2 linked regions of the Cricetulus griseus genome follow. The main gene of each other region encodes a partner of the protein of the gene in region 2 in a complex. Links are inferred from orthologs where the notes say so. Each region holds a gene or a part of one and is shown on either strand. Other genes may lie near its edges.

What was found.
Region 1: Rbl2 (region 2) and Tfdp1 share a complex: the UniProt entries of both Homo sapiens proteins name them as parts of the DREAM complex. The link is inferred for Cricetulus griseus from reciprocal best matches to the Homo sapiens genes RBL2 and TFDP1.

What each region holds. Positions count from the first base shown.
Region 1 is NW_023276807.1:67,425,314-67,429,133, forward strand, and holds part of Tfdp1 (transcription factor Dp-1), read right to left. Parts: intron 588-3,820; coding exon 481-587; intron 1-480. UniProt on the Homo sapiens protein: Can stimulate E2F-dependent transcription.
Region 2 is NC_048596.1:166,771,700-166,775,519, reverse strand, and holds part of Rbl2 (retinoblastoma-like protein 2), read right to left. Parts: intron 3,474-3,820; coding exon 3,309-3,473; intron 2,871-3,308; coding exon 2,759-2,870; intron 1-2,758. UniProt on the Homo sapiens protein: Key regulator of entry into cell division. Directly involved in heterochromatin formation by maintaining overall chromatin structure and, in particular, that of constitutive heterochromatin by stabilizing histone methylation.

The sequences.
Region 1 (3,820 bases), on a different chromosome or scaffold from region 2:
TTCATCTTTGATGTGTTACTCAATGAAGGAAGGGGATGGTGCTGGTCCCTTCCTGTGGCCATAGCCACACAGCCACACCCTTCCTTCATCTCTTCGCAACTAGGAGACACAGTGGCTATAGAAAAAGGCCACAGAACTTGTTGTAACACAGAGGCAACTCTAACTCAAGAGCTCTAGCTACGGAAGCCATGGAGCAGGAAGCTTGTTCAGGCCTTAGTCCTTCTATATCCATTAGGTTACTGCCATGTGTATAGGGCCTCCAAATACTCCTAGACATAGGGCACACTGAAGAAACGGAAGACTGAGCACTATGTCTGTACAACAGAAAGCAGTGCACACTTTCAGGAGTCAGAATGCACCCAAGAGAGGAGAGTCACTCCTGCAAGCAACCTCCACCACTTAGGAACACTGTGGCCACAGCAACACCGCCCACATCTAGCCCATTCCATACACCTGGGATTCATGTGTCTTACCACTTACCACTTGCTGTGTGATATTGACATTGGACTGTCCAAAGGTTTTTGGCAAAAGCTGCTTTCCAAGTGTGTTCACTGTGGATGGGTGGACAGCTACAAGAGACACCACACCTGGAATACAAGGGCACAGGTTAAGAGTCAAGCTGTTCTCTGAGCTGAGGTTAAAAGGGGCAGTTCCAGGAAGATGGTGTTTCTATCAAGAACCCTAGTCTTGACATTGCAGACCAATGGCTCAGTCACAAATGTCCCAAACTTGTCCGTGAGCCCTCCAGTTCCCTCTCCTGGGCACTGGCTAAGGAAGATACTGGGCCCAGGGACTAGCAGGGTTCATTTTACAGCAGGCATCAGACTTACCACAGCACCTCAACATGCTGTTCCATCACTACTAACAGCCCATGCTCTGTCCCGACCCTCGAGTCTTGGGAATAAAATGGCCATTTCTTTGCTTTGATGCGGCAAAATAATGTAGAACACCTTAGGTGTTTCCCAAACACGAAGACTGACACACAGAATCCCCAAGGAAGGCTGGCTTTTCAGCTTCAGAGAGCAATCAGAACATGAACTAGAGCTAACTCTCACTAAAGAAAATGTCTAAATGTCAACTATGAAGACTTTCAAAGGAACCAAATGTTAAGTATAGCTGTATAGATGGTATCAACTGCCACAATTCAGGAAAAGATCCTAAAACATTACATTCACATTTTTGTAACTGTTAAGTACACCCTTCCTATCTTCAGATTTAAGGCAGCAAATTATGAAAGTGTAAGACCTGGTGTTCTCTGACCTGACCAAACAAAGGATTGACAAGTCGAGAGTTCCCCCACCTGACCTTAGCCAAAAGGTCAACAAATGAGTTTTCCCAAGTTTTTTGTTTGATTTTTCATTTTAGAGTATGTCTAGGGATTGAACCCAGAGCCTCACACATGCCACACCAGCACACCATCTAAAGTCCAGTATAAAAATGGTTGTAAGTAAATAGTCCAAAATACTAACAATGTTCTTTACAGAGATAGAAGCAGTCTAAAATTAGGAGGCATAAGAAACCCAAACAGCCAAAGTAACTGCAAGCAGAAAGAGCAGTGCTGGAGGGTTACCAATACCTGATCTCAAATTAGAGCCACAGCAACAAAACAGACCCACAGATCAATGTGTTAGAATGGAAGATCCAGAAATCCAAGGGGCTACAGACACCTGATTTTCAACAAAAATGCCAAAGGCATACACTGGAGAAACAGCAGCCTCTTCTGAGTGGTGCTATGAAAACTAGATTTCTATGTGCAAAAATAAATAAATAAATAAATAAAATAAAACAAAACAAAAAAGAGCTAAATAATCTTGTGCAAAAATGTGTTCCAACGAATCAAAGATCTTAATGCAAGACCTCACACTCTGAAACTGCCAGAGGAAGAGAGGACAAACACTTGAAGCTATAGGAATAGGCAAGGATTCCCTCAAAGGACTCCAACTGTTCGTTCGCACAGGAAATCATTCCAAGAACTGACAAAAGGATGAAAAGGAACAGCCTCTTCAGAGCAAGCAGTCGCCAGTGAAGACAGAGCTTACAAAAAAGGAGAAAAATCTTTGCCAGCTACTCATCTAACGGGATTAACATCACAATTGAAAGAAATGGAAAAATTCAACAACAGAGGAACAAATAAGCCAATCAATAACTAAGCAAATGATCTACATAATTTTCAAAAGTGCAAATAGCCAGTTAATACCAAAATAATGATAAGATGTTCAGCCACTTTAGCCAAGGAAAGTGATAATCAAAATGACACCGAGACTCCATCTGACCTGACAGAAAACAAGTAACAAATGCTGGAGGATATAGGGGAGGGGAACTCTTAGGCACCGCTGGTGAAGATAATACAAGCTGACACAGTCACAAGGGAAATCAGTGCAGAAGTTCTTTGGGTACTCATATGCATATAGTGTGTGGCTATATGCACTCATATATATGTGTATGCGTATGTGTGTGGCTATATGCATCTGAGTGCATATAGCCACACACATACGCATACACATATATATGACTGAACATAAAAAATGTCTGGAAAAAACAAAACTGGGGGCTAGAGAGGTGGCTCAGTGGTCAAGAGAGAGCACATGCTGCTCTTGAATAGGACTGGACTTGGTTGCCAGCACCCACAAAGTGGCTCACAACTGTCTACAACTCCAGGGTATCTAAGGTTTCTTCTGGCCTCTAGGGGCACCAGGCACACAGGTAGTACACATACATACATGCAAGTGAACACCCACACACATGAAATTTAAAAAGTTAATGCTGGCCGGGCGTTGGTGACGCATGCCTTTAATCCCAGCACTCAGTAGGCAGAGGCAGGTGGATCTCTGTGAGTTCAAGGCCAGCCTGGTCTCCAGAACGAGTGCCAGGATAGGCTCCACAGCTACACAGAGAAACCCTGTCTCGGAAAAAAAAAAAAAAGTTAATGCTGGGAATGTATGCCAGGGCCCTGGACACGCCAGGGTAAGTGTTCTACCACTCAGCTCATTTTGTATATTCAGTCACATTAAGAAATATACGTGATATCATGAGACACACTCAAATGGTAGAAAGTTACCAGAGTAACATGGGTCAACATATCATCACCTCTCAGAGAGCAGTTGCCTATTGCTTTAGGAGCAAGAGCAGCTAACAAAGGGGTAGCAGAGATAGCTCAGAGGTTAAGAGGCTGCTCTTCCAAAGTACCTGGGTTCAGTTCCCATCACCCAAATGGTGGCTCACAAGCATCCACAATTGTAGGTCTGATGTCCTTTTCTGGGCATCCCTGGGCATCTGGCATGCACATGGTGCACAGACATATACGCAGGCAAAACACCCGTATACATAATAGAAATTAATTGGAAGGAAAAAAAAAAAAAAAGCAACTAATCCATCTCAGTAGAAATGAGGCCTCATACTGCCTGCCAGAGGGGACCCCTGCCCTACTTCACCCACATCCTCACTTTCTCTCCTCTAATCCAACACAGGTAAACAGCTATGCTCTCTCTGCACGTTTCATTTCTGGTTTTTAATTCTGTGTGATTGAGACACACAGTAATTTTCTGTGTCTGGTTTACTGTCTTAGTGTAATGTCCTTCCTGTTCACCCCCACTGTGGCAAATGGAAAACTTTAACTTTCTCAGAACATACAATTCCCCCAGTTTCTTTATCCATTCAGCCACTGACAGGCACAGTTGTTTCTGTGCCTTGTGAGCAATACTACAATGGGTGGTGCCTTCACCATAGTGACCTTACCTCCCTTGAGAAGAGCCCACAGGAGGAGTGGCTGGGTTCCTCAGGGGGCAAACTGGTCTTTCTAACCCACATGAGTGGGTTAGAA
Region 2 (3,820 bases):
TTTTTTTTTTTTTGTCACTCTAAACAAGAACTAACTGTTATGGCTTAGTTTATTTTTAAGTATTTTTACTATGTGTATTTTTGAATGTATTCTTTTCTCCCATGTCCACCTATAAGACCAGCATAACAGTAGCTCTTTCAAATTTAAAAATAAAAGTAGGGAAATCATAACAGACACCAACAAGAGTGAACCCTGGAAGCTGTGTCTTAACTTTCCCTGTGTTACAAGAAGACATAAAGACTGGGACAGAGCTGTGGATCCAACCATGTAGATTCATAAAGAGACAAGTTAGGAAGTACAGAGAAACAGAAGTGAAGGGATCAGACCCTCACTCAGTCCCTGCTTTAGCAGCCATGACAGGCTACAGAAAAAAACACCTAGGCCTCTGACACAAGGAAACTCCAGATCCTCTGGCCTCCAGGAGCCTAGAGCCAAAACTAGACACAAAGAAACTCCAACTGCCCCCCTCCCAAGCCTCCTAGAATCCTGGTTCCTAGGAACTGTTTGGCCACAAACAAAACAAAACAAAAAAAAAACTCCAGGGGAGACCAAAACCTCCCCTGTAGTTTCCAGGATATAGTTCTAAAAACTATTGGTATCTATGTACAACAGGCCACCTGCAAGTAACAAGACAAAGCCATAGAAACCACAGAATGTTCCCTCTCAGCACTGACCAATGAGAATAATTGGTACACAGGTATTTCATGCCAAAATACGACTTTTGAGAAATTCTCCTGATTGTTCCCATATATCACCCAATCAGAAACCAACCCATACCTACTGATGTAACTTTTGTCTTTAAAACCTAGCAGTAGACAGGGAACTTCACTCCCTCTGGAGGCTGCTGCATTGGCTAGCCAGACAGGGTCCCTGTCATGGTTGGATGAACAATAAAACCTTGCTTTTACAGTTCAGTGGGTCTGTCTCCCTGGTGGTCTCTAGGTGTCTTCACAACTTGGGCACAACAAGAAGTAAATGACAAATTATAATTCACAGACTTGGGAAGGAAAAACTACAAAAATGGTACTGAAAAGACTAGTTTATCAGATCTGAAACCAGGTCTGTATGACTGAAAGTAGTTAAACAATTATTGCTGTTCTTTGAGAAATGAGCAAGGGCTGGAGATGCCTCAGCACTTTAGAGCACTGCTTTTGCAGAGGACGTGGAGTTGGTTTTCAGCAGCCACATGGTGGCTCACAACCATCCGTAACCCCACTTACAGAGGATCTAACACCTTCCACCTCTGTAGGCACAAGCACAAACCTGGTGTGTGGACATACATGCAGGTGAAACACTCATAAACTTAAAATAAATCTAAAAACAATTTTAAGTGAGAAAATTTCATAAAGCATTTAATTAGTGAGTTAGTTTGGTTTTCTGTTGTCTGTTATTGTTTTGAGTCAGGGTCTCTTGTAGCTAAAGTAGACTGGCCTTAAAGTTAAGACCCTCCTACCTCAGCCTTCCAAGTGCTGAGTACAGAGGAGTGTCACCACACTCTGTATCATCTGTGTTTATTGATACGGCACTGACTTGGAATAAACTTGACTTTAAAACTGATCCTTTGATAGCTAGTGGTTACCAAGTACATTATAAAACTGGCTTAGTAATGACAATGTTCTGATGGATGCAGAGCTCTCTGGAACTATACAACTGTTCTTTGAAAACAGTTGTGGAGCTGGAGGTGTACTCCATCTATTGCAGGATGTGTGCTTTGCATTTGGGAGGCCCTGTCTTGAATTTCCAGCACCAGGGGAGAGAAATAGAAAGAAAATCAAAGAAGACAGACTCCCATACATAAATATAAACCTTGCACCTAGGCAGTCATCTCAGGAGCCAGCAAAAACTTAAGCCTGTATTTTCTGTACTTCTTGGGCCAGTATGGATATCACATTACCCTAAGTAGCATAGCTCCAGTCACAAAGCTGAACATGGTCCAACCATGAAGCCATCCTGTCTCACTGACTTATCTGTATCTAACCAGATCTCATAGCTCTATCTTTAAGAATAGTCAGGTGTGGTGGTACACACCTATATTCCCATCTATGACAGAGGTTGAGTCAGAAGGACCAGACCAAGGATTGAAAATCAGCCTGGCCAATATAGTGAGACTCCTATCTCTAATAAACATTGCAAAACAAAACCATAAAAAGGAAGATATAGTTGAAAGAATGAAAAATTCACTGAGAATTCTATAGTTAACAATGTAAGTATTATTAACAGTTTGATTTTCCCATTTTTTTTTGTGTGTTTACAGATAAAAATTCACTTACAAATGAAGACCAAATCAAATGTAAAGTGTTCTAAAAAGATACCCGTAAGCATGGCATGGTGACACACTCCTGTAGTCCTTGTAGCAGGGATGTGGAGACAAGAGAATCTAGAATTCAAGGTCAGCCTGGGTTATACAACCAAACCATCTCTCAAAAATGTTTTTATGTTCTTAATATTCCTTAAAAGCATATTTAAGTCAAGAGTGGTGATACACACCTGGAATCCAGCATTTGGAAAGTGGACAGTCAGGAGTACAGGGTCATCATAGCAAGTTACATAGCAAGTTCAAGGCCAACCTAGACTACACAAGACCCTGTCCCAATCTTCTTGCCCAGGAAAAAAAGCATTTTTAAGTGATTAATACATCACTAAAAGACATAGAATAGTCTTTGCTCTGCATGGCCTATTCACTTTACTTACAGGTTTAGATGAAATCTAAGTATCTAGATTGAAGACGCAAACACTCCTCTTCCTATTTTAGACTTACCTCCTCCAAGCCCTCCAGCATCACTGCGGACTTCACTCACCCTTCTCGGGGTTAGGGGAGAGCCAGCAATACAAATTTCATCTGTTCTTTCTAGGTTTTGAGGTGGCATTACCTACAAAGAGTTATTTCCACAAAATCTTAATAGTAGAAAAGCATTTCACTAGAAATACAGTAATAGTCTAAGGCAAAAGGAAACGACTTTTGTCTGATTAGTTATTTCTTAATAAAATTACTAACACTAAAATCTTCAGTCTTAAGAGATTCAAACTTGATACCGGATACTACATGTGAACCAATGTTCCTTACTGATTTGGAGGGTCAGGATAGCAGCCTTAATTTTTACTGTCATGGAAATCTTGAGGGCAGTTACAGGTTCCTCAAAGAACCTGATTCTGTTTCCTCTTTGATACAAGAATAAACCATTAACCACACTGCAAACCCATGCCTGCCAAGGGCAGACCCCAGCTCTAACCACTCTCTGTAGCATGAGGACCATAAACAATATTGATATGCTTCCCTTACAGATAGGTGTTAAGATATTGTCACAAACCTCTTCACATGTAGGAACTCTGTTTTCATTATCTCTAATTCTGTCCCACAGTGGGGACTCTGTTTTCCATGCCAAATGATCTAAAATTTGTTCTTCAATCTGGTTGAGGTGTTTCACCACTTCTCTGCAAAGACCATCTTCTGCTCTAATAAATACTTCTATTACCTGAAAAAAGAAAATGCCCTGGTTAACTGAGTAACAATTACTATGATTTTGCATGCAAAAGTTTTATGAGTATAAAAGCAAAATGAGCCGGGCGGTCGCGGCACATGCCTTTAATCCCAGCATTTGGGAAGAAGAGGCAGGTGGATCTCTGTGAGTTCAAGGCCAGTCTGGTCTACAAGAGCTAGTTCCAGGACAGCTAGTTCTAGGGCTACATAGAGGAAACCGTTCTCAAAAAAAAAAAAAATTAATGAAATGAGGGGCTGGAGAGATGGCTCAGCAGTTAAGAGCACTGTCTGCTCTTCCAGAGGACCTGAGTTCAATTCCCGGCACCCACATGGCAGCTCAAA